Arabidopsis thaliana: one gene and its partner. The protein of the gene in region 1 purifies or fractionates together with the protein of each later gene. This does not show direct contact. Each region holds a gene or a part of one and is shown on either strand. Other genes may lie near its edges.

Region 1 (14,788 bases):
AACCTTGAAATTTCTAGTGTTCTAAATAGATTTATTTCTTTACTCCTTTATATGATTTTTTTAGTTAAATGTTTTTGTCTTTTACAATTTTGATATAATTTCTGGAATCGTTATTGAGGTTTATATGGTAGATTTTTTTCTTTTATACAGGAAACATATCAAGAGATTAAATAGTAACGTGTATATATATTTTTGCTGGTCTTGAATTCTTTTTAATGTATGTACATTTTGTTGTTGTTTTATTGACATTTCACACGTTTTATTAAATATATTTCTACTTAGATAACGATTGAAAATAGGAATACGTCGTATACTGTAATTTGTAAGATTTTAATGTAGCTTTTTTTGGCACTGATACTTGATTACTTCTAAAAACTGAAAGATCTTGTAAAATGCAGTTTTTTTAATGGAAGAGAGAAATAATGGAACAGTGGATAAAAAAAAGCCAAAGACCTTTTTGATTTGAAATGATTTAGCTTTTAAATTTTGAAATAAGCTGATGGAAAATAGTTAGAAGTGGATAATTTATCTATCTGTTTATCACTTAGGTTAGATGAATTGGTCCCAAAAGTTGGAGCACGCATGTATATAGTTGGCATCATTATCCTTTGCTAATAATATAAAACTTAAGAAGCTAATAAATTAATATTGACAAAAAAGTCTAAACTAATAATAAAATTCTTCTTTTTTTTTGATGAGGTTATTTATCCTATATGGAAATGTATATGTTATTATTTAAATTCTATACGTATAATGCGTTAATGATATAAAAAATTGAGTTATTTTGTGTCATTTTAACTCTTTTTTAAATAGTACTCTTAGTTGTAGTTTATTAATTTGGAGAGAAAAGAACACCAATATTTTCACCGACATTCTTGTCACGTTATGGGATTGCGCAACGTTAACACTTGGACCCTGTCTATTCACCATCCTTGATGTGTACGATGAAACCAAGCGATGCTATAGCCTCCCACAAGCCACAACTCTTTTGAAATTTTATGTTGGATGTGCTTCGTTTAATTTTCGAATGTAATGCTTATTTTGTCATACACAATCATTGTGATTATTTTCGTTGTAACAACGGAGAAACACGAACTATATTTTGGAGGAGCCATTTCTTTAGTTTTTCCTATACATATGAATATGAATACTACTTAACATACAAGCAAAACAAAAATTTACCATTGGAGAATAAATAATGATTTCTATGATTTAGAATTTTTATGAATAGAAAAACAAAGTTTCATCACATCTAACAATTCAAATCCACTCCATACCAAAAAAAAGAAAAACAATTCAAATTAACTGAATGATATGATTCACATTTCATCAATTTTTCAATATATGATATATCGATTACCATACAACTATTTTACAATTCTACTATTATTTGACATTTTTTATTCAAAATTTGACTAATATTCGATATTTTTTTGTATAGATATTATTCCTCTTATTTATTTAATTTGTTGACAAACTTAACCATATGCATTCAATTGAATTTTTTCATTTTCCCCATTATTTTTGTTCGTAATGACTACTAATTACAACAAAACTATAGTTTATTATTTTCCTACAATTTAATGATCATTTTAAAAACTCCTTATCTGCTTAAAAGCATAATTGGAAATAATAATAATAAAGTGAAATGACAATAAAAGAAAACTTATTCAAGAAACTACAAAGTTATTCCTTGACAAAAAAAGTTATTCTATTGTCCAGTGAACAAATATGAGTTTTTGACTATTTTTTTTTTCACAAGTAATTTTTTTTCTTTGACAAGTGTATATTAAACATTCTAAACATTACATAGCCCAAACAAAGACCCTTTCAGGGTTTTAAGTAATTAATCAGTGACAAAAAAAAATGAAAATATTGTATTTATAAGTTTTTGATAGACAAACATAAGTTTTACAATTTTCCAAGGAAAAAGTCATATTTTCCTAGTAAAAACCTTTCGGGTTTTCCAATTTATTTACCAAAGATAATTGGTCTCTGAAAGAACAAAGCAAAACCTAAGAAAGCTAAAAAGACACTCAGCGAATTGAATTTGTAAAAAAATAAGAGAAAAAATCTTGATTTCTTCTGCGATCTTCGGTTCTCGACGCATCATGTGTTGAAGATTCTTCTATCTTCCTCTGTACATACTCTCTCTCTGCCCAAGTGTTGTTGAACCAAAAAGGGGTCAGATTTAGGGTTTTTGGAAGATTTTTGTGGCTGGACTGGCCCTGCAGCGATGTCTACCTCGTCGCAATCTTTTGTGGCTGGACGGCCTGCATCCATGGCTTCCCCTTCGCAATCGCACCGCTTTTGTGGTCCCTCAGCCACCGCTTCTGGTGGCGGAAGCTTTGACACTTTGAATCGTGTCATCGCTGACCTTTGCAGCCGTGGTAATCCTAAGGTAATGAAGAACATTGTAAAGTATTCTCCCTTTTTATGCTTTAGTAGAAACCCATATAACCCTTTTGCTTTTATTGCTTATCTGACGGAATCTCTCTGTTCTGGTTAATGGAAAATTCGAAGTTTTAGTTCTTATAGGTCTGGCAATTTGTGGGTTTTGATCTATTGTTGTTGGTTTCCATCAAGTATGCGACTTTGTTTATGATTTTTGGTTGTTGTATTAGGAGGGAGCTCCTTTAGCGTTTAGGAAACACGTAGAGGAAGCAGTTCGTGATCTTAGTGGTGAAGCTTCCTCTAGGTTCATGGAGCAATTATATGACAGGATTGCTAATTTAATTGAGAGCACTGATGTGGCGGAAAACATGGGTGCACTCAGAGCCATTGATGAGTTGACGGAGATTGGATTTGGTGAGAATGCTACTAAGGTTTCTAGATTTGCGGGTTACATGAGGACTGTGTTCGAGTTGAAGCGTGATCCTGAAATCTTGGTGCTTGCTAGTAGAGTTTTGGGGCACCTTGCTCGGGCAGGTGGAGCAATGACTTCTGATGAAGTGGAGTTTCAGGTAAGATTGTTTGTTTCCCTCCCCTTCCTATCACTGTCTCGGCTCATAGTTGCTCAATTCTTGATCTCGTTTTCACAGATGAAAACAGCTTTTGATTGGCTTCGCGTAGACAGGGTGGAATATCGTCGTTTCGCCGCCGTTTTAATATTAAAGGTATCCTGATTTCAGCTGCCCGATCCTTTAGATAAGCAGATCATTTTTTCTTTTAGTTACTCAGAAAGAAACTTCTGAACTAATAAATTGGATTATAGATGTTTGAAAAATGATAGTGATGATAACTTTCCAATCCTAAGTTAATACGGATATGGATGTTTTCTTGCAACATTGCAGGAGATGGCCGAAAATGCTTCTACTGTCTTTAACGTTCATGTCCCTGAATTTGTGGATGCTATCTGGGTTGCACTTAGGGACCCCCAGTTGCAAGTGCGAGAACGAGCTGTTGAAGCTTTGCGTGCATGCCTTCGTGTTATTGAGAAAAGGGAGACTCGATGGCGAGTGCAGTGGTAAGTATTCTCTTATCCTTGAAAATGATAATGTCTGAAATGTTTTCCTTAGGTTATGTATTTGGTATGATATTTTTGATGCAAGGCTTTTCTTTGTGTTGTTGCAATACTTTCATTTGCAATCACCCTCATTTAAGTACTACTTTGTATATTTTATTGTGTAAATGCAACTTATATTAGCTTTTTATGCTGTGGTCCCCCCCCCCCCCCCAAAATGGATGATATTCGAATATATATTCTTCCCATGGTGATACGTTTTGCAGACTTTCTACTGCATTTATATATATCATTGCCAATGCAATGTTTCAAATTATCAATAGGGGTTTCCATCTTTATTAACTGATCTTCTCTCAATTTGGCTTTTACAGGTACTATCGAATGTTTGAAGCTACACAGGATGGGTTGGGCAGAAATGCTCCGGTTCACAGTATTCATGGTTCTTTACTTGCCGTGGGGGAGCTGTTGAGGTAAATGCAGAAGTGGTTATCTATTTTGAAAGCATCCCTTTCTTTTAGTCAGACACTCAAGTTTGATTCTGGAATATTTCCGTAGAACAACTTGTTTGTCCCCATGATGCTCGGGTTGTTTTGTTAGTTTGTCTTCGTATTGTAGTTTACATCATTAAAAAAGTAGGCAATTCATGTATATTCCTCCACTCTCAGTGTATACCTGAACAAAAGACTCTTGACGACGAAAATTACGTTGTTTTCTGTTATAAGCAGATTGATTTCATGGCATATTGGGTGTTAGAGTTTACAGCTTAATGCTAGAGTTCGTTTGCAGGAATACAGGTGAGTTCATGATGTCTAGGTATAGAGAAGTTGCCGAAATTGTCCTCAGATACCTTGAACATCGTGATCGCCTTGTTCGCCTTAGCATCACCTCGTTACTGCCTCGCATTGCTCACTTTCTCCGTGACCGGTTTGTGACAAACTATTTAACGGTAAGTGACTGAGAGATTCTTAAAACCAAAAAATTTCTGGAAACGTGACACGAATTACTTTCTTGCAGATATGCATGAATCATATTCTTACTGTGTTAAGAATACCGGCTGAAAGAGCCAGTGGGTTCATCGCCCTTGGGGAAATGGCTGGTGCTTTGGATGGTGAGCTTATCCATTATTTGCCGACAATTATGTCTCATCTGCGGGATGCGGTGGGTCAAATTTTATTTATTTATTTATTTATTTTGTAATTACGTTTTACTACTTTTGTGTCAAAGTATTATATTGGGTTTTAGTTTTGAAAACTGAACTAGACAAGTGGCTTTGTTCGACTATGTTGTCCCTGTAGATTGCTCCACGTAAAGGCAGACCTTTGCTTGAAGCTGTGGCTTGTGTTGGTAACATCGCAAAGGCAATGGGATCCACAGTGGAAACTCATGTTCGAGATCTTTTAGATGTTATGTTTTCATCTAGTCTCTCTTCCACACTTGTTGACGCTCTTGACCAGATAACCATCAGGTAAAGTTGAACGAAAGAAGTTTGTTATTACATACATTGATGTGTATACGTTTAATGCTGACAATTCTTTGTATCTCAGCATTCCTTCTTTGCTGCCAACAGTACAAGATCGGCTTCTAGATTGCATTTCGTTGGTTCTTTCAAAATCCCATTATTCTCAAGCAAAGCCTCCTGTTACCATTGTCCGAGGTAGTACAGTGGGCATGGCACCACAGTCTTCTGACCCTAGTTGTTCAGCTCAAGTTCAACTAGCCCTGCAGACTCTTGCTCGTTTCAATTTCAAGGTTGGCGCTCTTTGCGGATAACATTTTCTAAAGAATATGAAATTTCTGTCTTTGAGCTTCTGATTTCTGGCAGGGACATGATCTTCTTGAATTTGCTCGGGAGTCAGTTGTTGTTTATTTGGATGATGAGGATGCAGCCACAAGAAAAGATGCTGCTTTGTGTTGTTGCAGACTAATTGCAAATTCTCTTTCTGGCATCACACAATTTGGCTCGAGCAGGTCAACACGAGCAGGGGGGAGACGCAGGCGCCTTGTGGAAGAGGTTTTATATCATACTGAAAGCCCATTACATTTTTTTCTTATTATGTCTTTTAATTTCACTGTTTCTCATTACAAAAGGTTTCTTTTTATTATTTTCCAAATCTGAACTTAAGTATGTTAAACATGCTTCGTGATGGCATTTATAATTGCAATACCAGTGGCGGTTCCAATTTTCTGCTTGCTGAGAAATGATGTTTGGGTTCTGCAGATTGTGGAAAAGCTTCTCAGGACAGCCGTTGCAGATGCTGATGTAACTGTTCGCAAATCTATATTCGTTGCTTTATTTGGCAACCAATGTTTCGATGATTATCTAGCACAGGCTGATAGTTTGACTGCCATTTTTGCTTCCTTAAATGATGAGGTATGATTGTGTTATTTGTTTGAATAAAATAGCAGCTTAGATGTCATACTGCAGTCCTAATTTGTTACCGATCTTTTATTTGTCTCTCTTGGGTGAATTATTGTAATTGTATTGCTCTTTGAGATTCAATTTCATGGGTTCATGAAGTTGGTATTTAATTACTCCCCCTAATATCAAAATTTGGATACCAAGACGTAGCTGGGCTTTTAGTCTATGAATTAGCTTCTATTGTGTCACAAAACAGTGTTACTTATTAAGTTGTACTGGAAAAGTGCAGCTGAGATAACTTAATTGGATGATTTGTGGATGGAATGAATGCCTTTTGTTGGTGGATGCATCATGTGATACCCTGTTAACTTGATAGAATGTTTGGCTTATGTTTCACACTTTCACTCCACCTGGCTACAGTATCTGGCCTAGTCAATGGAACCATTTCAATTCATATATTACAATATCTCTGTTTAACAGGACCTTGATGTTCGAGAATATGCCATCTCAGTTGCTGGAAGGTTATCGGAAAAAAATCCAGCATACGTACTTCCAGCACTTCGTCGCCATCTTATACAGTTGTTGACCTATCTTGAGCTGAGGTAACTACAAATTTTTTAGTTCATATGGGAAGATTCATTTCCTATGATTATGTATCTGTTGCATTGACTTCAATTGTAATGTCAGCAGTGCAGATAACAAGTGCAGGGAAGAGAGTGCAAAGCTCCTTGGTTGTTTAGTTCGAAATTGTGAACGGCTCATTCTTCCATACGTAGCCCCTGTCCAAAAGGTTTAATTTCTTTTCATTTCTTAGATAGTATGGCTATTATTGTTGTTCACGGGGTTGTAACTCTTGTTTTCTAGGCACTTGTTGCGAGACTTAGTGAAGGAACTGGAGTGAATGCTAACAATAATATTGTCACTGGAGTTCTCGTAACTGTTGGGGATCTTGCAAGAGTGGTAAGTTGAAATATAATTGGCAAGTTTTAGATTCTATATTAAGTGTCGATTCAAACATAACTGCGTTTTTGCTGCGCGTTAAAGTTGCAGTCTGATTTTTGACTATTTCTATCTGTGTTCTAAGTCTGTGTTGGCTAAGCGTATTTCAAATTTCAATGCCCTGGCCGGCATCTAATATTGTATTTTTTGTTGTCTCTAAGTTAACAGAATGTTGGTACTTTTATTTCCTTTCCTGTCCTGTTATTTATTGTGTTTGGCTAAGATATTCCCTTCCTGGTTTTCTTTTGCGTTGCTTGCTCAGGGTGGCTTGGCAATGAGACAATATATTCCGGAGCTGATGCCTTTAATTGTTGAAGCTTTAATGGATGGAGCTGCTGTAGCAAAACGTGAGGTGGCTGTTTCTACTCTTGGTCAAGTTGTTCAAAGTACAGGGTATGAGATATTGACCTTCTTTTACGACTTTCTTCTTGTTTTATATGATAATGCTACTAGGCAATTTTGAACATGCTAATTTTCTTGTAAACTAAGACAATGCTACTATCTTGATTGGCGAAAGCCTGGTTGGACTAGATGAAAATACTGGATTCTAAGTGAATTTTTTGACACAAACGGGGCCTCCATCTCTTCTTATTAGCTAGGTAGAAGCCTGAGCTATCCTTAGGCTGTTTATGTGTTAATGTATACATATGTGTTATGTTTATCCTTTAACCTACTAAAAGTGAGAAAATTCTATATGAAATGACAATATTGTTATCCCTAGCTAGTTCTTCTATCTGCGGTAGATCTTTGTGATGGTTTTTTTTCCGTCTCTCCTGAGATGGCTCATTATTCCGGAGAAAGAATATTGCCTTTCTGTGTCCGGACTTGTCATGAGTTGTATTCTCTGTTTGTCGTGCGAAAGGATTGATTTACCAATACCTAGGATATTATGCTGCCTAGATTTAATCAACTGTATCACTGGTGTTTATGAAGTTGTAGACATTTGTAGACAGTGCGGTGATCAACTTGCATGTTACTGTTTAGTAGCTTGGGACATGTGCTAATTATTGTGCACATAACTAGTACAAAATGAAGGGAGTTCCAGAAGTTTACAATCCTCCCTGCATGTTATTTACGGCTCTAATTTCATTATGAACGTAGGTATGTTGTGACTCCATACAAGGAATACCCATTGTTGCTTGGGTTACTCTTGAAATTGCTGAAGGGTGACTTAGTGTGGTCTACCAGACGAGAAGTGCTCAAGGTAGTTTCTAGAGAATTGTTTTACTCTAGACTATTCTAGAAGATATTTTTGTGATAAACGTGGTTATATCTACAGGTTCTTGGAATTATGGGCGCTTTGGATCCTCATGTGCATAAACGTAACCAACAAAGTTTATCAGGATCACATGGTGAAGTTCCTCGCGGCACTGGTGATTCTGGTCAACCTATTCCATCAATTGATGAGTTACCTGTCGAACTCCGGCCGTCATTTGCTACATCTGAGGATTATTACTCAACGGTAGTTCTTAATTTGTGTGAATATATTTCATTTGTAGTCTGAATTGTGCTCAATTACTTTCCTTATTGTTATAGGTTGCTATCAACTCGCTTATGCGAATTCTTAGAGATGCATCACTTCTTAGTTACCACAAAAGGGTTGTTAGATCTCTGATGATCATTTTCAAGGTAACTAAAACCATCTTGACTGTTTTTTAAAATAAACTTGTGTTGGAACTGCAATGAGGAGGTTACAACTTTATCACTACTTTGTTTTTGCGAGGTTAGTCAATGGGATTGGGATGCGTGCCTTACTTGCCGAAGGTAGGTGTAAATAATATTGTATCTCCGGCAGCTTTTCGATAAATGCTCTCTCTGTTTTACGTTGTGGTAATTTGTTGGGTTGGTTCCACCTCTGAATTTGAAGGTTTTACCTGAGCTTTTTCACACTGTTCGAACATCTGATGAGAACCTGAAGGACTTCATTACGTGGGGTCTTGGGACTCTTGTTTCCATTGTTCGCCAGGTATATCCACCTTAATATTTTCAGTTATGGTCAAAATACGACCGACTTTGTGTAAACTCATAGCTTATGTTATCTGTGTACAGCACATACGCAAGTATCTGCCAGAGCTGCTTTCATTAGTCTCTGAACTATGGTCATCCTTCACCTTGCCCGGTCCCATACGCCCATCACGTGGTCTTCCGGTAAGTTGTATGCTGCCTAGAGTATGCTATGTTTCTTATTGATTAAGGACAGATATCTTATGGGGAGTACTTCGCCTCTCTTACTGATAATCAGGTTCTGCATCTACTGGAACATCTTTGCTTGGCACTTAATGATGAATTCAGAACTTATCTTCCAGTCATCCTTCCATGTTTCATCCAAGTATTAGGTGACGCCGAGCGGTTTAATGATTACACCTATGTTCCTGATATTCTCCACACACTCGAAGTGTTTGGCGGTCAGTAATACTTATCTTGTTTTGACATCCTCATAGTCATTTTATATTACTTGGGTATGCGAGTTCTAGTAATTAACGTATGCAGTTCTTTTACAAGAATGTAAAGAGGTTCCACATTATTAGATTGTGTAGTGTAAGATGATACAAGTAGTTTCGTTATTATATGCATATTTGTTTCTTATCTATTAAATCCAATTTTTTTTCGGTATATAGGTTCTTTGAATAGTCAGATTGTTTACTCCTGTAGTTTCCATTTTCTCACCATGGCCAGATTTCACTCTGATGGTTGACCCTTAGAGTCCTTATGTGCAGGAACTCTTGATGAGCACATGCATTTACTCCTTCCGGCACTTATTCGATTGTTTAAAGTAGATGCTCCTGTAGCTATAAGACGCGATGCCATCAAAACTTTGACAAGAGTAATCCCGTGTGTTCAGGTTAGGAGCTTTGGTTATTTATTTTGATTTTTTTTTTCCCTTTGCTGATCCAGAAAAAATTCCATATTAAGCTTCTTGTAATACTTTTAATTATCCGTATATATCCTCAGGTTACTGGTCATATCTCCGCTCTCGTGCATCACTTGAAGCTAGTATTAGATGGGTGAGTTATACTGATTGTCACTATCTGAAAAACAGTATATTGGTTACTTTTTCCTAAGGGTTTTCTTACAATACTTCTTCAAAACTTAGGCATTGTGTCACTATCTGGTTTTCTCTTAAATGGTTGACAATGCATTATCAAAAAGGATGGAATTATTATTATCTCATTAACTTTCAATCCGTCATTGTTACTGTTACAAATCTGTTTTCCATAAGTTGTTTGTATTGCTTAGTTACAATTTTTTCTGGCCACATGTATTTGTTATTAGAACTCCGCAGATGTTAGTTACATTTCTTAATATCATGGGATTTTATCTGCCATTATTGATGGGACCCAATTGTTTTCTAGTGGATTTTCATTTCACGTTTTTCTAAACCTTACTCGTGATTTCAGTTTCGTACGTATAAATATTCTTATGGGGTATATCTTCTGTAATCGCAGGAAGAATGATGAGTTGCGGAAAGATGCTGTCGATGCACTATGCTGTTTGGCTCATGCACTTGGAGAGGACTTCACCATATTCATTGAATCAATTCACAAGCTTTTATTGAAGCATCGATTGCGGGTCTTGCATTTTACTATCTTTTAAATAAAAATAGCAGCAAAAATTTATCTGTCATGTATTATAAATGTCATTTGTGAACTTCTGTCTGTAAAATCTCACTGTACAACATTTTTTCAGCATAAAGAATTTGAGGAAATTCATGCTCGCTGGCGGAGACGTGAACCATTGATTGTAGCTACAACTGCAACCCAACAATTAAGTAGGCGACTGCCAGTTGAGGTTATCAGGGATCCTGTAATTGAGAATGAGATCGATCCTTTCGAAGAAGGAACTGACAGAAACCATCAGGTACTCTTTTCTGTGTCGTATATAATCACATATAGATTCTTAATGTGTGAAAATTTTGTTATCAAGTTTCAAGTTAAAATCATGATTTTACTCTAACATTGTACAAAATTTCTGGTCGGCATAGTCATTATTAGTATGACTTCATTGAGGCAAACATGGGGTGTATTGTAGGGTTCCTTAGCTGAATAAGGCGGATCTTTTTTTCTTTCTTTTTCCTATCTAAATGATGGGTAGGTTTATCTATAGCAACGTTCATTCATTGAAGCTTAGTCTTGGTCCTGAGCCATTTGCTTCAATGAGTTTGTAAATATGTCCTCTATATTTCCTCTTCTCCATGGACATTCAGCTTTTAAAAACAAATAAAACTATATATGGGCTTGATTTAACATGATCCTCTAGTAAAGTTTATTTGGTTCTTTCTTAGTTTTGAAAGAGCTAAAACTTTCACTCATGGCTTTGATGATCTGCTGAACAGGTTAATGATGGTAGACTACGGACAGCTGGAGAAGCTTCTCAACGCAGCACCAAAGAAGATTGGGAGGAATGGATGAGACATTTTAGTATTGAATTACTTAAGGAGTCTCCCTCTCCAGCATTAAGAACTTGTGCAAAACTTGCTCAGTTGCAGGTGTTTCATCTATGCTCTTTCTTTTCCTCTCTCAAAAGGGTGCATTTTAATGATTGTGTTTTGCAGCCATTTGTCGGGAGAGAGTTGTTTGCTGCTGGCTTTGTCAGTTGCTGGGCACAGCTAAACGAGTCTAGCCAAAAGCAGTTAGTTAGGAGCTTGGAAATGGCCTTTTCATCTCCAAATATCCCTCCAGAAATTTTAGCTACACTACTCAATTTGGTATGTTCGTTGTTACATTACAAGAAAACTTAAACATGATAAAGACCTTTGATTGAGTCACTGGCTATAACGAACAGCAAATTTGTTTCCTGTGGCTATGCTTGTGCTTATTGAGTGCTTGTGTTTTAGCTTAGGCGATTGTTATGAGTTGACTACATTTTCCAAGACTGGAAACAAAAACTTCTTAGGTCACCATTTCTTTAGCGGTTGCACCTGTTAATCTTTCTATGTAAAACACGTTTTTTGTTGCTAAAACCATCAACAAAACGATCTGTGAGTGTACATGGAAACATGACGTGTAATTTTTATTTAATCTAATATTAACACTATAATCCAAATATCTGCTTATACTTCGTTTAATCTATATTACGTTTAGGTTGGATAAACAATCATAAGTTCAGAATCAATATCAACCTACCTTTATGTGTGATCCTGTTGCTTGGTCCTGTCACTTGTGCTTGATTTTATTATTTCTCTTCTTAGGCAGAGTTTATGGAACATGATGAGAAGCCTCTTCCCATTGATATTCGTCTTCTGGGGGCTCTTGCTGAAAAGGTTTGCGTTATGTATTTGCTAGTTAAATTAGATTTGGTACTTTTTTCATTTGCGTATCAAGAATTCATCTGATTTTCTTGGTAATGTGCAATATTCCAACTTTGTAGTGCCGTGTTTTTGCCAAAGCTCTGCATTATAAAGAGATGGAATTTGAAGGTCCACGATCCAAGAGGATGGATGCCAACCCAGTTGCTGTTGTCGAGGCTCTTATACACATAAATAATCAGTTACACCAGCATGAGGTACACTGTATTTTGTATCCTATTTCGACCATCTTTGATATTTGTTATTATTGATTGGTTGGAATTCTTTGTATAGGCTGCTGTCGGTATACTAACCTATGCTCAACAACATCTTGATGTGCAATTAAAAGAATCATGGTAACATGGCTTTTCTGAATCATGATGCACTTATTTTCAGTTCTGTTTGATAGGCATTCCGTCACAAGATTGTGTGTGGTTCCATTCTTTGATCCTAATCAGTGGAAAAGCACTAACAGTGTTTGTTTCTAGGTATGAGAAGCTGCAGCGCTGGGACGATGCACTCAAGGCGTACACTTTGAAAGCATCTCAAACAACAAATCCTCATCTTGTATTAGAAGCCACATTAGGTTTGTGGTAACCAAGACTAATATTGGGAGGATTTAGTGGGTTTTTTTCTTCGATAATGTTTTTTTCTAAGTTCTGTTGGCATTTTTTTGTCGGTATTCTGTTAGTAGTTCATAGAGAACTGTGGGTTCATAACATTCTTACAAGTTAGCAGAACAACAGATCAACGCATTTTTTTCCAGTCTAAAATTCATATGATGCTTCTCTTTTCTTTTCATGAAATGGCCTGATTCTATTGCTTATTTACCACGTTGTAGGACAAATGAGATGTCTTGCTGCACTTGCACGATGGGAAGAGCTCAACAATCTCTGCAAAGAGTACTGGAGTCCTGCTGAGCCATCTGCGCGTCTGGAAATGGCACCAATGGTTGGTAACTTCTACTTATGCTACATTCGGTGATATAGCTACATGGTTACATAATGTCTTTTTGCAACCATACTAGGCTGCACAAGCTGCATGGAACATGGGAGAGTGGGATCAAATGGCCGAATATGTGTCTCGGCTAGATGATGGTGATGAAACAAAGCTTCGGGGTTTAGCAAGCCCGGTTTCTAGTGGCGATGGGAGCAGTAATGGCACATTCTTCAGGGCTGTTCTGTTAGTTCGAAGGGCAAAGGTACACTTGGACCTATATTTTCGTACTATAAATCTTATCAGGCTTACTTATAATCTATTTGCAGACACTAATTTCTGCGTATGTGTGCCTGTGGATATTTTTCTTTCCTTTTTAGTACGACGAGGCACGCGAATATGTGGAAAGAGCTAGAAAATGTCTTGCCACAGAACTTGCAGCGCTGGTAGGTTTCATTTCTGGTAGTATTTTCATTATAAACTTTTGTGAAAAATATCTATGAATCATCTGTTGTGAATAAAGGGAACAGATGTATATCAGCAAAGATATTTGTAACTGGTCTCAGCCTTTTCCATTATGTTCTTGAAACTATTTGAGTACGCCTTGTGGTGTTGGAAGTAGGATTATACATTCCTGACATCTTAGTTACATATTTAGCTCTATTTAAATAACATTTTGTGCATGCTATCGTTGGTTCCTTTCAATAGAAGCATCATGTAATCACCATGTTACCTTCTTAGTTGCTCACGCATACTGAAAAACTTGTAATTGTCTATTTGCGCCTTCTACAGGTTTTGGAGAGCTATGAGCGTGCGTACAGCAATATGGTTCGTGTTCAGCAGCTGTCAGAACTAGAGGAGGTTAGATCTCAATTATCCAAGATCCCTTCTCCTGGACACCCTCCCTAACACCCCTCCATATACATGATTAATCTTTCTATTTTTTTCCCCTGTTGTATCGATACTAGGTAATTGAATATTATACGCTGCCTGTGGGAAATACTATTGCCGAAGAACGGAGAGCTCTAATTCGTAATATGTGGACTCAGCGGATTCAGGGATCTAAGCGTAATGTGGAGGTATATTATTTTTAATGTTATCATGTTAGTTGAGCCACTAGTGAATGACAAGGCATTTGGTATTTTAAGCATCAAATATTGCAGTATGGTGACTTTATTAAATGAATCTTCGCTAGGATCAAATTGATTTTTTCCATATTAGGTTTGCTTTATTTAGTTTCCGTCTGTTGATTTATAAAGTAAAGTAGCTTCTTACCAAACTGTTAGTCAGAGCTTGTATCCTACGTAGATAAAAAAACAAATCCAAATAAGAAAACTCATTAAAATTTTATTGAGTGATCTCAGGTTTTTTGTATAATAGTGTGCTTTTTAATACTTTGCATTCCCAATACTACTCAGGTGTGGCAAGCACTTTTGGCTGTCCGGGCACTTGTGCTACCTCCTACAGAAGATGTGGAAACTTGGCTCAAGTTTGCCTCGCTTTGTCGAAAGAGTGGGAGGATCAGTCAGGCGAAATCTACTCTACTCAAGCTCTTACCGGTCTTGAACTTTTACCTTTTGATTGTTGAATTTTCTCTGCCAAGAGTGTATCTTTATTCTGTTATGTCTAACTTGGGCCCTTATTTTGCAGTTTGATCCAGAAGTATCACCAGAAAACATGCAATATCACGGACCTCCACAAGTGATGCTTGGATACTTAAAATACCAATGGTCACTTGGAGAGGAAC
Region 2 (17,893 bases), about 11 Mb from region 1:
TGTTAAGGAAAAAAAAAACAAATCAAAACTGGAGTAACAAGTTATGCATTGTTCATTAAGATTTATTTATATATAAGATTTTAGGATGATTTGCTGACCATGTTTGATAATCTATTTAAGAATATAGCACCTTAATATGCAAAACTAAGTAAATAACACTAAAGAGGGATAAAAAGTCAAGTAACTCCTCGTTAAAACATGAGAACACGCGCGTGAAAAGGAGAAGAAGAGTGACGTGATCTTTCACACTTTTTTTGGTTTATGGACATACATAAAAAGAGAAAAGTGTTGGCTAGCTTAATGATAGCGAAGATGGTAATAGTAACAATGACAGTGCCGATGGTGATGGTGACGACAACAATAGCGGTGCCGATGGTAATAGTGATGATAACAGTGGTGGTGCCGATGGCGATAGTGAGACAACAATGGTGGTGCCGATGGCGATGGTGACGACAACAGTGGCAGTGCCGGTGGTGATGGTGACGACAACAATCGCGGTGTTAGTGGCGATGGTGACGATAATGGCGGTGCCGGTGACGAAAAGATAATTACAAATATATATTGATATAAGAAAACTAAACCCTAAGATACTATACATAGAACCCAAACAAAAATCATTAAACGAAATGAAATCATCTCAACTTTCAATTTTCAAAAATCTAACAGCAAAATAAAATAGTACAATGGTGATGATGGCTCCGGTGACGATTTTCCGGCGATGTGGCTCCGGATACGATTTTTCGGCGACAATGGTTTTAAAGGTAGTGGTGGTTGTGGTGGTAGTGGAAGAAAAGAAGAAAGAAAAGAGAAAATGTTCACACATAAGAAAGAAGAAGAGGGTATAATTGTATTTATTACATATAATATACACAATATCACCTTATAGTTTTTGAAGTGTTAGTTTCCAAATTATTAAATGTTTTTAGGTTATACTTGCAAATTTCCCAAGATTTTAAATCTATGGTTTCTCGATGTTTTATTTTTGAGGATACATATTCTTAACAAGACGGCTGGCCCTAAATGTGTAACTGTGAAATTAATTTTGGTATATTTATTTATATGGCAGTGAGACTGGTCTTGGGGTTTCAATGCATTTAAATGGAATATTGGTGTGGTTATTAAATTCAAAATTAAATGATATATTAAAATTTTAAATGCATATAATAAACCTTAAATTCCCAGGCCATTACTCATTCTGCAGTCGATTTTCTGTTTTATTTTTCAAAATTTTAGTTGATGTGAAGAATTTAATGCATGTTTTATCAAAAATGTATGATAAATATATTTGTGGACATCCGAGTTTTACACAAAAACGTCAAATTTGAATATCCAAAATAGATGATCGGATATAATGTTAAAATACGATACCAATATCAAGTATTTATTTTTGGTTAGCAAAAAAAAAGATCAAGTATTTTCAGTTATTAGTTCATTCTAATTTTAAAAGTTAAAACTAACGTTTTCAATTAGACAGGCCCGTTTCTACCAAAATTAAAAGAATTAAAAAATAGACAGGCCCGTTTATAGTATTTTTAGCCCAGTATCTACGAAATCCGGCCCAACTACATCTTCCCGCATGTTATCGTCCCTTTTAAACTGGTGCATGAGATGTTTATGTACTCCATTTTCGAAAATAAACAACTCTAATATGGAGAGAAATGAGAGGTCTTTATTAAATATCACGTTAACGAGTTGTGTCATGTAATAATTACTGACGGTTACTATATCGAATAATTACCTAATTATCGGGTAATAAATTAAATACCAAAATATTAACCATTATATGGTCCATATACAGTGATCTAGTAGTTGAATAATTGCTTACGTTCAAATCTTAATTATGGTTGACCGTATATAATAATATTTTATATGGTATTCGCATGCTTTGGAGATTAATATAAAGATATTCTGATTACTAAAAAAAAAAACCTAAAATATTAACCAACACATTTCTGTTGAAATAGATCCCATAACAAATACATGTGCGTCATGCATGCGTAATCATTGATTTTATCTGCTTACCTTTTGAGTTTTTTGGGTCATGAATCTCATGATTTATCTATGTTTGAATATTATGGCGTTATTTTATTTAATTTGGAAATGTTAGCACTGTGCTTGGACCTAATGAGTGTGATTAGTTAGGTGATCAGGAAAAAAGTAACCATCACTGTTAAGCAAATGTCCTACCAACCCAACCCAAGGATGGATAATATTGTTTGAGATCTCTATTTTTTTCAAGATTAGGTGTCTTATTTGGTCTCTTGGAAAAATCTTGTTTAGGTGATTATCAGATCATTTTAATTATGATTTAATTGTATTTCCCTTTTAAAACTTACTTACAAAAATCAAAATTACTTGTTTTCGTTAGTATATCTAGTCATGAATTCTAAACTTCTAGCATTTTTGAAAGATTGGACTCTTTTATGGGTAAATCTTTGGCGCATGAGTTGTTTTCTAAATCGAGAATTTGTTTTTATTAGATAAGGTGTTATATCTCCTAAACAATAATACAATAACAAACGCAAAAAGCGAAGCATATTTATGTATATATAGTCTTATATAAATAGTTGATATATATTAATATGTGTCCCTATTATGATCACACAAAACATACACATGCAGAGCTTTATTCCAATAGCTAAAATCTGAACTTTAAAGTCAGTACACTCGAAATTGATATTGACGTATGTATTACTAATAGCAACATGTGTTCTTTCATCATAAGTTTACATAATTTTTTAATTTTATTCTACTTAATTAATGTCACAGTTTCCATCGTTTTGATAAGGTCCATACTCCATAGGGACGTTGAAAATTTAATTTAATTTTTTCCACTCATAGTTGTCCTTTTTTTCTTAGTAAAGTTTGGGAAAGTTTTCCCACTCATACTTGTTTGTTCACCAACCTTCTGATTACCAAGAGTCGTATAAAAATGCAAAACTAATAGATCGTCATTTATATATGTTGCTCCTATAGACTTTTATCGACAAAATTTTCCGAATTAATCATTTTGTAACTTCAATACATATACGTCCAGATATTTACCCTAGTGAAAAATATTTCTTCTTTTTCAAACCTCTTTTCCTCTCTATTCCTCCTAAGAGCTTGTTAACGTAACAAAATTGTTGGGTTTATTAACTTCAATTATTGTCGATACTTAGTACTTTAAAATATTTGGAGTAATAGATGTAGTGATGGCTGTGTCGTAATTGCTTGAATAATTTTGGATGGGTACAGAGGAATTAATTAAGTAATGAAGGTTTGGTGGAATTAAGTAATTAACGTAGCCAAGAGCCAACAACAACACCAAACCCACCAAACATTAAAAAAGTCAAAAAGACGTAAGTCTTTGACCTCTTCCACTCTCTTTGGTCTTTAGTTTGGTGAGTTCGTGCACTATGCTCACACACACTCCTTACGCCTTTTGGTGTTTTCGGATGTGATTAGAAATGACTTTTTAACAGTTTTTTTTTTTTTCTGTCTCTCATTTTAATGTTATATTTAAGGATTATATATATTTCTGCTTTTTTGTATACAAAATATGAAAATATTCCATGGAGTGACGTATGGAGTGACTGCGTACTTAGTAAAACAGCATTATTAGTGAGAGTTCATTTTTCTCGTGTTACACTGTATCTACATGATGATCACGGGACTATCTATTATTCAAAAGTTGGTAATTATACACTGAGCCTGATTACAGAAGACTCGCAGACAAAAACTAATATAATCAATTCCTCCTATGTATACCTTAAGCTAATTCTTAATTAACAAGTTGCAGATTTACAATCTTATTTTAGTCAAAACACTACCTAATATTTTGCCACTTTATAACTATATATTCTTACTCCTCCAAAGTATTTTTATTAAGAAATACATAAAACTCTTATCATTACCGCTGTAAATTCCTAAGACCATTTCAATTAACACTCGTCGACATGTAGTAGTTTCTTACATTAGCGAAATTTATTTCAGACAATTTTATAAGATATGTCAAATCTGATAATATTTTTAACACGAGATGCTAGTTTCCATTATTACTTGATGTCAAAAAAGAAGAAAATATTATTTAAGGATTTTGGTTTCTAAAAACGAATGTGAAATATTCATGCATCGGTGTTAGAAGGAAAGATAAGTTGCATGCATCATAAGGATGCCAAATGAAGTAAAAATGAGAAAATGGAATCATACCAAATAATCAACCATACCACAGACAGACAACCTTTTCCCACTCAACAAATCTGATTTGACATTTATCAATTCCTCTGTTTACATATTCATCTTTTCTCATGTCAAGATCACACACTCTTACCTCTCATATATATAAAACAGAACCAAATTATCTTTGGTAAAAGTGAATCTCATCAGGAACTGAGTGATATAAAGTTATATATATAGAGGAGAGAGGGAGTGAGAGGGAGTGAGAGAGAGAGAATGGGGAAGGGAAGAGCACCTTGTTGTGACAAGACCAAAGTGAAGAGAGGTCCATGGAGCCCAGAAGAAGACATTAAACTCATCTCTTTCATTCAAAAGTTTGGTCATGAGAACTGGAGATCTCTCCCCAAACAATCTGGTATGTCATTGCTTTTGTCATCACAATCAAAGCAAAAGCCTCTTCAATTGTTTTTTCTTTTCTTTATGATTCTGAATGTATATATATGCAAAAATGAAGGGCTATTGAGGTGTGGGAAGAGTTGTCGTCTAAGGTGGATTAACTATCTTAGGCCAGATCTGAAGCGTGGCAACTTCACTTCAGAGGAGGAAGAAACAATCATTAAGCTTCACCACAACTATGGGAACAAGTAAATCATCAGCTAGGATTATTATTGTGCTCATACATATATGGTGGATCAAAAAAGTGATTTGATATTGACATTAAGCTTTCTGCATTTTGATCAGGTGGTCGAAAATCGCTTCTCAACTTCCAGGTAGAACAGATAACGAGATCAAGAATGTGTGGCACACTCATCTAAAGAAAAGACTGGCTCAGAGCTCAGGAACTGCAGATGAACCGGCCTCGCCTTGTTCGAGTGATTCTGTTTCTCGTGGGAAAGATGATAAGTCATCTCACGTAGAAGATTCTTTGAACAGAGAGACTAATCATAGGAATGAGTTGTCTACATCTATGTCTTCTGGGGGTTCCAACCAACAAGATGATCCAAAGATAGACGAACTCAGGTTTGAGTATATAGAAGAAGCTTATAGCGAGTTTAACGACATTATTATTCAAGAGGTAGACAAACCCGATCTGCTGGAGATACCATTTGATTCAGATCCTGACATTTGGAGTTTCTTAGATACTTCAAACTCATTTCAACAATCCACTGCAAATGAGAACAGCTCAGGCTCAAGAGCAACAACAGAAGAAGAGTCTGATGAGGATGAGGTTAAGAAATGGTTCAAGCACCTAGAAAGCGAACTCGGGTTAGAAGAAGACGATAATCAACAACAATACAAAGAAGAAGAATCATCATCATCATCACTCTTGAAGAACTACGAGCTCATGATACATTGATAAAAGATATTTATTTTGGATATCAATATGACAATATGTATGATGGAAAGGTAGAGAGATAGTAGAGAAAATGTATTTCCTATAGTTTTTTAATTGGCATTATTTTTAGTAGCCTGTAGATAAAACAGAGCTGGTCAAAAGATGCACACTATACTAAAAGTCTAAAACTATATATCTGGAAGATTCTTTCTTTAGTCTTAGAGAATCTTGAAGAAAATTATTGAAGAATATTTGGTAGGATTAGTTTAGTAATCTCAATCATCTAACAACCATCTTGAAACTGGAAACGACAAAACATGAAGACCAGTTACTCTTGTTTGGAGATATATTAACCTCAACAGCTATTTTTTTTGCTGAAGAAGAAGTAACAATAACTATGAACTTATCAACGAATTAAGGCAAGCAACTGAATTAGAAGAAGCTAATCTCAACAATGTTGCATCTCCGAATGTTTTCTTGAATTTCATTGGAGATAGACAAAAAGTTGGAAGCTTAATATAGATAGATCTCAGTTTTGTCTTCCATGGCTTCTGATAAATCTTAGTTTTCTTGAAATTGAAGAAATATTATATGATCTTGATAAGAATATATAGGTAACTTGAAGAAGAAATTAACTTCTACTTTCAACTTCTTTATCACTGGTTCAAGTGAAGGAAAATTGAGTCAAATTGGGTTGGGATACCCATTTTAACACTCCGGTTTATAGTTTGAAAGTTTAAACCGATTGGTTTAATTTGATTCGAAAGAATCTGGTTCTTATAACTATTAAATATAATGTCGGTTCATTTGTACGATACTTTACAAAATATGAGGTTTCGTTTGCAATTCTATATAGATTATCAGGTTTATTTTGCATTTATTCCTAAAACCCTAAAGGGGAAATCTTCCCGGTCTTTATTCGAGACGACGACGACCTATAAAGGCCAATAGCAATGGATCGGGTCAATTAATCTCGGGTCGGGTCATTTCTTTTTCAATTTCGCGGTTCTATCTCTCTCTGTTTGCTGACTCGAGATTTTCGAGTTTGGTGGGATAATTGATCGGATTCAATGGACAAGTCCGTCGTAATACGCCGTGAAACCAATGGAGACGACGTTGAGGGAGACCCGGAAAGAGAAGCTGTCTTCGCACAACTGAAAGTTCTCTGCTTGGAGCTTCTAAACCTTTCGCAAAACCCTGAAAAGGATCCAACCACGATCCCTGCTTTGCTCCTTCTCCTCCGCCGTACTCCTCCGTCCTCTCTCCAGTCCTTCTTCCAGTAATTATTCCACTTTTCTCGTTTCTCTTTATCTTTTTACTTCTTTCTGCTGAAAAAACGGTAATCTGCACATGAGTAGCAGTTTCAATTATAAGGTTTAAAAGAGTTCATTTGTGGTGTATTGTCGACTGTTTACTTAGTGAGAACTGTTTTGGTTTATGTACGTTTCAGCTACACTTTGTTCCCATTGCTTCTTCTGTTAGACGCCGCAGTTGCTTGCAGAAGTCAGGGGCAAAACAAGCCAGAGGAATTTCCACAAACACCATATAGAGTGAGTGATAAAGTAGCAGAAGGTGTAATCTCTTGTCTCGAAGAACTTCTAAAAAAATGTCACATTGGATCCATAGATCAGGTGAGCTGGTTTTGAACTCTCACAATCGTTTTTATGATTGTTTTCTACCTTTACTCGATTTGGGTAACATATTCTCAGCTTAGTTATGGAACTGTGTTGAATTTTTTCCCCGTACAGATGGTTGTAATTATGAAGAAGTTAACTAGTGGTGCTGTTTTATCACCATCTGAGGCTTCTGAAGAGTTTCGTGAAGGGATAGTCAAATGTTTCCGAGCAATGATCTCTGGTCTGCTTCCATGCTCTGATGATTCTTGCTCTTGTAAGCGCACTGTTGGCTGGCCTCAGCTGTCAGATAGAAGAGATTATCAAACTCAAGTTTCAGAGTCTTATAAGTATGATTTTGAAACTCGTGAATGCTTGCTTGCATTTCTTCAGTCTCAGTCTGCTTTGGCTGCTGTCGGTCATTGGCTTTCCATTCTTCTCAAAGTAACCCTCTTTTCTCCTATGCTTTCTTTTTTCTTTCATCTGGAGTCATGTAGTTTTATACATTCTAAGGTATTTCAATTCTGATCACTCCACAAGGTCGCTGATGCTGAGGCTTCTCGAGGACATCGAGGAAGTGCAAATCTTCGAGTTGAAGCCTTTATGGCTTTACGGATACTTGTGGCTAAGGTAACTTTTAAATTATGCATATATGGTTTGGACCATTTCTGGCACCCATGGGTCCTAATGAGAACATGTTTCTTGTTGCAGATTGGTACTGCTGATGTGTTGGCGTTTTTTCTACCTGGTGTTGTTAGCCAAGTTTTCAAAGTGTTGCATGTTTCGAGAGCAATGATAAGCGGAGCTGCAGGAAGTGTTGATGCATTGGACCAAGCAATTAGAGGGTTAGCTGAGTTTCTTATGATCGTCCTTGAGGATGAGGCTAATTCATCGGCTCTCGAGATTTCTAATGGTGATACTAAGTCGCAGAAACATGAATCTGCACACTCAATTTTAGACGAACTTCGTTCTCTGACAACAAAATCTCAAGGACAGAGTGACGAGCTGACAGAAATTACAAACCAAGAGATTGTTAACATCAATGTACCTGAAAAATCCAATCTGAATCTGAGTCGTGACTCCTTTCTTGTTGAACGCACGAAGAAATGGTTAGATAGCACTACATCTCACGTAAATAAGCTGCTGTGTGAGACATTTCCTCATGTAAGCTATTTATTCTCGTGCTACGTTCAACACATTTGTCCCAAATCCCTTTGGAATTGTTTTTTCTAAATGGTAATTCTTAATTGGTTTCAGATTCTTATTCACCCAGCCGGCAAAATTCGATGGGGATTTCTAGCAGCAATACGTGGACTGCTCTCTAAGAGCTCTTGCTCGTTGAAGGGTGCTAGATTAGTGATGTTGGTAGGTTCATAACTAACAACAACTCATGATATTGGGTATATCCATTCCAAGGATTGCCACCAGATAAATTCCTTATAATGATGCAGGAATGCGTATGTACTCTGGCTGTTGATGACTCTGATGAAGTTTCTGTAGCAGCTCAGGAATTTCTCGATCATTTATTCTCAGAAAGTACAAAAAACCATGTAGAGAGTGATATAAAAAAGATCTTTAGCAGGTATTTGTTGTATATTGTTTTTTTCCTTTGAAGCTAAGTATGCAGATGTCTAAATAGAGATGTGTTTTTTTATTCTTCTTCCGTGGCTTGTTGACAACAGACTACTTGAGAGGCTTCCAAAAGTGGTTCTGGGGAATGAGGAATTGCCTGCACTTTCGGTGGTGAAGCAGTTACTTGTCATCACCTATTATTCCGGTCCTCAGTTTTTGGCGGATCATCTTCAGTCTCCCGTATGTATTCTTTCTTGACACGCTCATAGGTTTGGTGCTACTTCTTTCTTGATTAGCAAATCTAGTTCGAAAAACCAAACATGTTCTAATAATGACTTGCGATATATGATTAGTTCTTCATGGCATTCTGTTATGTAGATAACAGCTAGCAGATTCCTGGATATATTTTCTCTCTGTCTAAGCCATAATTCAGCATTCACCGGTTCTCTTGAGAAACTCATCGCAGAAAGGCCTTCATCATCGACAGGTTACCTCCCTTCTATCACAGAACTAAAAGTGGGGTTCCGGGAGACCAGATACAACCGTGCTGTTCCAAATATCACAGAAACAGATCAAGTAAAATTGGAGATATCGTCCCCCAGTAGCCATATGTTACCTCGCATGCCTCCCTGGTTTTCTTATGTTGGTAGCCAGAAGCTCTACGAGATGCTCGCTGGAATCCTTAGACTTGTAGGCTTATCCTTAATGGCAGGTCATTTCATATTCCTTCGGAACCATTTTTCTGAAAATTACTCTGCAGTTAACTTATAAATGAGTTAGTTACTGATAGTAAATCATCTCCGTTGTGTTTGTGTTTGACAGGATTTAAAAACGAAGGGCATTTAGCAGTCATCCTGGATATTCCTCTGGGGTTTGTCCGTAAATTGGTTTCAGAAGTTCGTGTAAAGGAGTATAATGGAGAAGACTGGCAGTCGTGGTGTAATCGAACTGGTTCAGGACAGTTAGTTCGCCAGGCGGCAACTGCTGCTTGTATCTTGAATGAGATGATCTTTGGTCTATCTGATCAAGCAACGGATGCTCTCTCAAGACTGCTTCAGAAGTCAAGGAAGGGAAGAGACAAACTTTCCTGGGAAATCTCTTGGAACAAACGTGCAAAAACAAATCTGATTGAGTGCGTTGGTAAAATCCTGCATGAATACCAAGCTTCTGAAGTTTGGGATCTCCCCGTGGACCAAAAGGCAATTCTGGGCCAAACTGATAACGATGGGCAACATATTAGTCTGCATTTCTTAAGAGACAGTGCAATGCTACACCAAGTTATAATAGAAGGAGTAGGTGTGTTTTCCTTGTGTCTAGGGAAAGACTTTGCTTCAAGTGGATTTCTTCACTCTTCGCTTTACCTTCTGCTTGAGAGTCTTACCTGCTCGAGTTTCCAAGTTAGAAATGCTTCAGACACTGTCCTACGTCTTCTTGCTGCCACCTCAGGCCATCCCACAGTGAGAATGAAGAATAATGTAGTCGAAAATATTCAATCACATCATAAAATCGTTTTTAAAATCAACATCTTGTTGTCTTTTGTTTGTTTGTTTGGCAGGTTGGGCATCTGGTTGTTGCAAATGCGGATTATGTTATTGACTCTATTTGTCGCCAGCTGCGCCACCTGGATCTTAATCCTCATGTCCCAAATGTTCTAGCTGCTATGCTTTCTTATATCGGGGTTGCCCATGATATATTACCTTTGTTGGAGGAACCGGTAAGGCCATTTGTAGTGAACCTTTTTTTTTTTCATGGAAAATTGCCTCTGTTGGATCTTCATCACACTCCGATTCATCATATTCAGTGTGTTAAGAACTTTCTTTTTCCATTTTGGGGGATCTACAGATGCGATTGGTTTCCCAGGAACTTGAAATTGTTGGTAGACAACAGCATCCAAATCTAACTATACCCTTCTTGAAGGTAATTCAATCTTTCATTTTTTTCTATTGAAGTCTTTTAAAATCATTGGCTTTTTTTTGTCTAAGAAACATCATAACCTTTGTTGGTGCTTCTGCTAGGCTGTTGGTGAGATTGTAAATGCATCAAAGAACGAGGCTTGCTTATTACCAGACCGAGCCAAGTCATATAGTGACCATGTTAAGACCAAAGCAACTGATGCGATTACATCAAGACAAGAGAGAGTTTCAAATTCTGACAAAATAGTTGAAGACGAAGAAGAATGGGAAAACATACTGCTTGAACTGAATCGTTCTAAACGATACAGACGCACAGTTGGTTCGATCGCCTCTTCTTGTTTAATAGCGGCCACGCCTCTCCTTGCATCATCAAATCAAGTCTCATGCTTAGTTTCCCTCGAAATAATTGAGGTATTATTCCTGTCGGATTTCTTGAGCTCTCTCTAGGACATTTTCGCAAGCGAAATAAATCAGTATATCCAATTATGCAGGAAGGAGTAGTGGCGCTGGCTAAAGTCGAGGAAGCTTATCGAGCTGAGACAGAAACCAAAGAAACAATTGAAGAAGTCATTGAATTTGCTTCATTCTATCAGCTTAAAGACTACATGAATGCTAGCGACGATGGAGCAGATGAAAACCGGCTTTTACCCGCTATCAACAAAATCTGGCCATTCTGTGTTGCTTGCATACGAAACAGAAATCCCGTGGTACAATCTCTTTCTCCCTCTTCCGAATTTATCTCTAGATTAATGGATTATAAAACCTGCTGCATTTTCCACAGGCTGTACGGAGATGCTTAGTCGTGATAACCCGAATCATTCAAACATCCGGAGGAGATTTCTTCTCACGTCGTTTCCGCAATGATGGCCCAGACTTTTGGAAGCTTTTAACAACGTCTCCATTCCACATTATGACGCCTAAGATCCTCCGGGAAGACAACAAATCGGTTCTCCGACTTCCTTACAGAACCATTTCCGAGTCATCATCTTCTACGATTGCTGAAGTTTCCAGCTTGAAAGTGCAGGCAGCAGTTCTCGATATGATCGCCGAGATTTCCAGAGGTAAACGCAGTGCTTCAGCGTTAGATGCAGTCTTGAAAAAAGTTGCAGGATTGGTCGTGGGGATTGCGTACAGCAGTGTAACTGGCCTAAGAGAAGCGGCTTTGAATGCGTTGAGAGGACTTGCTTGCATTGATCCTGATCTCATTTGGATTCTCTTAGCTGATGTGTACTATTCTCTCAAGAAGAAAGATTTGCCTCTCCCACCGTCTCCGGAGTTTCCAGATATCTCTAATGTTTTGCCTTCTCGGCCGCCAGAAGATTCTCGTACAAAGTTTCTCTATGTAGAATACGGTGGTCGGAGCTATGGTTTTGAGTTGGAGTTTAGCTCCGTTGAGATAGTCTTTAAGAAAATGCAGTCTCTTGTCTTTGTAGACCAAATGCGTTGTTAATACTTTGCTTGTAGTAAATACTTTTCTGAAAACAGCAGTAAAAAAAAACTTGGTAATATAGTTCAAGTGTAACATTGAGCAAAAAGCTAGTAAAAAGGGATTATAATTGTATTGGGGTAAATAAAAACATTGGGGGCGAGATGCAAAATATAAAAGAGTAAGGGGTTTAAGTGTAATTTCGACATCGAGACCCGACCCGACCCGGGATTATGAATCCTGATCGCCGCGGGGTCCAAATAAATATATGTCAGCTCCTCCGTTCTTTTATTTTAGTCCGTCGGGAAATAATGGTAAGCGAACGGAGCTCCAAGGAGAAGAAGAGAAGCAGAGCTCGGAGCGAAGATTCTTCATCTTCCGATTGTATGTTCTTCTTCTTCTTCTCCTCTATGTATATACTTTTTCTTCCGATTCCCGAGAAATGCCATCAATTTATCTATCTGTGTTTTCGATTAGATTTTGTAGTTGGCGTTGAGAGTGTGACTTATTGTTGTGAATGACATAATCTGATACATAGTGATTTATGAATTGACAGACGAAGAGAAAGTTAAGAGGCATCGAGGAACAGAGAAAGATGATGAAAGGAGAAGTAGGAGAAGTGATAAGAAGGATAAGAAATCTCACAAGCACCACAAATCCAGTACATGTAAGATACTGTTTCTCATGTTTTGAGTTAGTAAATATTGTTCCATCCGTTTTAGAACCTTGATTATATGTTGAGTCAAGTTAAGTTTGTCGTATGATAAATTTGATGTGTTTGCTTCTTCATCTAGAGAGTGGTGTGTTTATAGTTATACCCATGTGAGCTGGAGTTTTCTTGTTCTTGTATGCCATTAACGGAGCATCAATTTAGCTTTGTCTTACCTATATTCTCCTAGAGAAGGAAGAGGTTGTAGTCGGAACCTGTTGGTTTGAGGGATTATAGGCAGCAAGAAATATCTTGTTTTGGTTACAGCTAAAGCAGCTATGTTTATCTTTCATCAGCATGACTTATATCATGTGTCTTTGCTTTTCAGTATGATCTGTTTTTCTTGCTGCTGACATTTTTTTTTCTCTTACAGCAAAGAAGTCCAAGGATGATAAGCCGAAAAAGAAACATACGGAAAGCGACCACAAGCTAGTGAGCTCTAACTTACCCTTTGAAATAGTTACCCATAAAAACATCTATTTGTATATTCACTTAAAAAGTCAAAAGTATATTGCTTTGGAGACTTTGTATGTGTGGTTCTTCGCTGGTCTCTTCAGTTGTTTAGTCATGGTTTAATTACAAAAGTCTTGTTGCCCTATTGTAATGTTTGACGGATTGTCATCCACACTGAGGTTCTGATTAAAATGCTTTTCTTTTCCGTTTTTTCTTCCAGAAAGAGGGAATTCCAGAGCTATCAATGGAAGACTACTTCTCGAAAAACAACGAGTTTGCTACATGGCTGAAAGAAGAAAAACGTACTTACTTTAATGATCTCACGACCGAAGCTGCACGAGGACTGTTCTCACGATTTGTCAAGAGATGGAACAGAGGAAAACTCGAGTCTCGATACTACGAGGGAATCTCCACTGCCCCACGAACAGCTCACGACTGGATGATCAAGCGTAGGTGAAAAAAAGCAAAAGCAATACCTTCCTCTTCTGTGGTTCGCCGGTTACCTCTCTTCTTGCTTCTTGTACACGTGAAGGTTGATTGCATCAGAGATATATTTCTATGTAGTTTCTCTACTTAGAACTTCTTGTTGCTGAACTAGTTAGATAGATTGTCGTGGAGAGATATGTAGTCGGTTTTCAGAGTAAGACAAACTTTACATATCCAAGGTCTTAACCAAAGTTGCCGAAGAACTATCTGATGAATCCTTATGTAACATTGAGAATTTGATATCCGGTTAAGGGAGAAATAGACCGTTTTGATTGAAAGTTGGTCTTGTACAGTATGTAAGTTCCTACTGGCATTTACAACACAGCGTATATGTAGCTTTGGCTAAGTAATTTGTGTGCATGAAACTTGGTTATATGAAACTGAATTTTCACAACAGACGTTTAAATGAGTGAAAAAACATATTCTAAATTATTGGGTCACGAGTCTCCTTAACAAATTCCAAAAGTTTTACAAAAGCAAGAACCATCAACTCTGAGAGTATACTGAGATTCAAATCAGGTTGGTTGCACGGTTAAGTGAAAGTTTTACTCGACTTCAGCCAAGTAATCATCGATTTCTGCTGGTGTTAGCACCCTGCATATAACATTCACTTTTCAGATATTGATGGGAATAACAAGATTTTTTGTTTATATTAGTTTTGTAGTCTTGAATGTTTACCTGAAAACTTTGTCAGTACCGATTTTGCCAATCTCGATGTTTTTGCTTGAGATTTCTCCCTCGAAACTGTGAAAAGACACGGAGGTTATAGGCTTTTGAGAAATTCTGAACTCTGGAAATAAAGTAAATTAAGTTTTGGTAAAAATGCTCACCCTTCCTTCAATGTCAATATTGCCGTGTGAATGGCATCATCAAGTTCCATATCTTCTGTGTACCTGATCAAAGACTAAGATGAAATGACATGCTTCCAAGATCATAAACTCATCACCACAAATGGTAAATTATTATCACCTCTTCTCAAGAAACGTCTTTGCATTCGAAACATTCTTTCCCATTGCAGAAGCTTTCCATGAGAAATAAGAGCCAGATGGATCCACCTAGTGGCCAATGAAAATTATGAAATAAGATGTTTTCAGTTTACGGGTTTTACTTCACTTTGAGCAGGATGGTTATATTTTCTTTAAAGTTCTACTTACTTGATACAGTTGTGGACCCTTGTCATCATACCCAGCCACCAGTAGAGAAACTCCAAACGGCCTAACACCACTATTAACAGCAGAAGGAGACAGAGATTAGAAGCAAGATTCAGTAGTCTAGTTTGCAAATACAGATTTGCATTAACAACATTATCTCACGCCAAATCAATATCAAAACTGAGCTAAAAAGTGCATAGAGAGACTCGCTCTAGAGTTGCAATCTCTGAGCCAATAACACTTTTGAACCCTGTTGAGCATATGAGAGGAAGTAATTACATAACACTCGATATAGTACTTACCCCGATTGAGTGAACTCTTGCATCACCGTGGCAGTTTCCCTTACAAGTTGAGTAACGGGGATGGGTTCCTGCAACAATAAACGCCCTTAGAAGTTGAATCAACAGAGCGATCTGGATTTATGAATAAGCAAGAACTTATATCAACTGGAATCATCAATCCAAAGTTTTTATCATACATGTACTACTAGACACTCCAGGAAAAGAAGACAAAAAAACAGAAGATATTAAAGATTACCTTGTACAGACGGAGATATTGCTCAGCCTGCTTCCTACTCTTTCGCACAAGAACTCGGAAATCAGGACCCATACCACTACATAAAAGGCAATACCAAAGTTAGCACTGAAATCATTAGGGTACTAAGGGAAAGGTTCCATCAGTAGCACTAGCACCTGATGAGAGAGACTAAGTACCCAAAACAAAATAAAAAATGTATGATAAATCCAATTTGCAAGCTATAAAACCAAATTCGCTATTAAAAAAGAAGTATGGATAGCTGAAGAGAAGAACCTGTAAACAGTTCCAATGTTGGGAGTCAAATGTTGAATCTTTTGAACCTGAAACAGACAATAGATAAACATTAGTTTCGTAGGAGTTACTGAAACTATGCAACCGAAAGGAAAGTAACACGAGCAGGCACAGAATGAAAAAGAACTAATTGCTATAAAGAGTTGATCAAACTTACAGACGCTTCATCAACCAATATAGAAGGAAGTTTCTTTTCAGTTGCAATGACAACTCCATTTGAAGCTGCATAAAGAAAACAACAGTCATGATTACCAAAGACAATGTTCCTTAAAAATCTCCTCTCGAATTTGATTAGATCATTGAAAAAACCTTTAATTCCAAGTGATGTTTGGCCTGATCCAACAGCTGTTAGGGCATGTTCTATCTGAACCAGCTTCCCTGATGGGCTGTTTCATAAACCACAACATGAATCAAACCCCGAAGAAACCGTTCCAAATGCTCAGAAAGAGATAACATTGATATGATAAACAAAGTTAATACCTGAAGGTGGTGAGAGAAAACGAGTACTGACTGTCCCCCATTGAAAACCAACTAAATCAAGCTGCAAAAAATGCGAAATAGTGTCATCTCTGGAAATTTAGAAACGTGGAAGCTAAATCTGTTCTTCATCAACAATGTTCAAACTTAAATGAAAAGAAACCACGTCTGAGCAAGTAAGTAGACTGAAGCGTTCAAATCTGACAAAGCTTAAAAACCCGGAAGAGTCTCATCGCCATGGGCAATGTGTAAGGAAAACGATGAAAAAGACAAGATATACCAACCCTAATTAAGAATTGTGAGTGAATCAAATCAAACACAAACTCAAACTCAAAGATCAGCTCTTAGCTCAAACTCAGAGACGAAAATTGAAAACTTTTCTTAAACCCCAAATTCAATATATTTAAAGTTATCAATTTAAATTCAACAAAAGAAACCCATTCAATCAAAGCAACATACCTTTGATATATGGATCGAACGGAATGGTCGCAAGAGAAGAGAGAGAGAAGAGACCCAAGTGAAGAATTTTTAAGCTCTCAAGGTTTCTTGCACAAAGGGTGAGAGTCTGACGCCAGAAAACGAGAGAAACAAAAAAACCAAAACGGCGGCGTTTTAACAACTTCACAGTTACTGTATCTTACATAATAGTCCAATATTTTATATCTCTTTTCAGTTTGAACCACATTATTTATTTACTACCCCTAGTCCCCTACTCTCTCTCGCTTCCACGCCCGACTCGGACTCAAACCTGGTCCGAATTGGCTGTGTCTCTCTCCATCGCCTCCTTCTTCTCTGACAAACTCTCCTCCGTTGGTCGGAGTTTGTTTCTTCGCTCGTTCATCACAAGCTTCGTGTACTGGTAATTGTTCCATTTTTTCTAGCTATTTCGGAAAATTGGATGGAAGAAGCATCTGAAATACGCGTGTAAATGTCGCTGATTGTGTCGTTGAGGCAGAGCCATTGTTGATTCTTAGAGAAAATTTGCTCCTTTATTTCTCCAGTTTGTTAAACTCTCGATTACGCCCTTGAAATGCATTCGACCGGGAAGAGAAATTTCTTAGCTGTTATCAGATTATTGTTTACTAGTTCGAGCTTGGTCAGAAAGGCTGGTTGTAGAAATCTCATTTCTGCTACCTTTACCACCAGGTGTTCGACGTTATGCCTGAATGAATCTGAAGAATGCATTGAGGATTCTGATCTATCGTCTAGGAGAAAAAAATTTGATTATGTTGGAGAAGTTGGTGAAAAAGAGAAAGTGAGAGATATTACTAGTAGTCCTTTACAAGTTTTACGAAGATGGGGTTGTGATGATGATGAAATATCCAAGCTTTTTACTCGTAGGCCTGCTTTGCAGAGAGCCAATGTTGCTCAGTTAGAGTTTAAGTTAAGCCTTCTTAAGCCACTGGGAATCACGTCTTCAGACCTTGTGAAGATTCTTAACTGTCGTCCTAGGTTCTTTAGTTGCCGTCTTGTCCTTGATGAAAGGATCAACTACTTCATGGAGATTTTGGGGTCAAAAGAGGTGTTGCGCAGAGTCATTATCCGGAATCCGTCACTCATGTTGTATGACCTCGATGACAAGATCAAACCCGCGATAGAATACTACAAAGGGTTGGGCTTTAGCCAACAGGATCTTGTCGCAATGTTGATATCGCGACCCACGTTGATTCCAAGAACAAACTTTAACAATGAGAAGTTTGAATACATTGAGAAAACTGGAGTCACCAGAGAATCCAAGATGTTTAAATATGTTGCAGTCATCATCGGGGTC

Evidence for each region.
Region 2: the proteins of TOR (region 1) and AT1G79190 purify together in Arabidopsis thaliana (affinity purification with mass spectrometry, with the first as the bait; one large-scale study listed by BioGRID). This does not show direct contact.

What each region holds. Positions count from the first base shown.
Region 1 is NC_003070.9:18,527,068-18,541,855, reverse strand, and holds the start of TOR (target of rapamycin), read left to right. Parts: upstream 1-1,860; 5' UTR 1,861-2,236; coding exon 2,237-2,401; intron 2,402-2,624; coding exon 2,625-2,963; intron 2,964-3,041; coding exon 3,042-3,116; intron 3,117-3,293; coding exon 3,294-3,466; intron 3,467-3,834; coding exon 3,835-3,933; intron 3,934-4,249; coding exon 4,250-4,409; intron 4,410-4,477; coding exon 4,478-4,621; intron 4,622-4,758; coding exon 4,759-4,928; intron 4,929-5,007; coding exon 5,008-5,212; intron 5,213-5,285; coding exon 5,286-5,474; intron 5,475-5,681; coding exon 5,682-5,834; intron 5,835-6,302; coding exon 6,303-6,424; intron 6,425-6,512; coding exon 6,513-6,612; intron 6,613-6,686; coding exon 6,687-6,782; intron 6,783-7,083; coding exon 7,084-7,214; intron 7,215-7,922; coding exon 7,923-8,025; intron 8,026-8,100; coding exon 8,101-8,283; intron 8,284-8,357; coding exon 8,358-8,450; intron 8,451-8,549; coding exon 8,550-8,585; intron 8,586-8,688; and 39 more. UniProt on the Arabidopsis thaliana protein: Essential cell growth regulator that controls development from early embryo to seed production. Controls plant growth in environmental stress conditions. Acts through the phosphorylation of downstream effectors that are recruited by the binding partner RAPTOR.
Region 2 is NC_003070.9:29,782,075-29,799,967, forward strand, and holds AT1G79190 (ARM repeat superfamily protein), read left to right. Parts: upstream 1-6,407; 5' UTR 6,408-6,564; coding exon 6,565-6,773; intron 6,774-6,944; coding exon 6,945-7,125; intron 7,126-7,242; coding exon 7,243-7,551; intron 7,552-7,647; coding exon 7,648-7,737; intron 7,738-7,818; coding exon 7,819-8,271; intron 8,272-8,364; coding exon 8,365-8,472; intron 8,473-8,558; coding exon 8,559-8,689; intron 8,690-8,789; coding exon 8,790-8,919; intron 8,920-9,057; coding exon 9,058-9,391; intron 9,392-9,501; coding exon 9,502-10,154; intron 10,155-10,234; coding exon 10,235-10,393; intron 10,394-10,521; coding exon 10,522-10,596; intron 10,597-10,694; coding exon 10,695-11,003; intron 11,004-11,083; coding exon 11,084-11,299; intron 11,300-11,373; coding exon 11,374-12,042; 3' UTR 12,043-12,101; downstream 12,102-17,893. Other genes in the region: AT1G79170 (uncharacterized protein), read left to right, coding at 199-212, 308-548; MYB63 (myb domain protein 63), read left to right, coding at 4,435-4,802, 4,900-5,515; SCI1 (splicing regulatory glutamine/lysine-rich-like protein), read left to right, coding at 12,330-12,402, 12,575-12,685, 13,101-13,159, 13,401-13,637; AT1G79210 (N-terminal nucleophile aminohydrolases (Ntn hydrolases) superfamily protein), read right to left, coding at 14,212-14,260, 14,345-14,410, 14,497-14,559, 14,636-14,721, 14,821-14,890, 15,120-15,187, 15,355-15,430, 15,628-15,674 and 3 more; AT1G79220 (Mitochondrial transcription termination factor family protein), read left to right, coding at 17,153-17,893.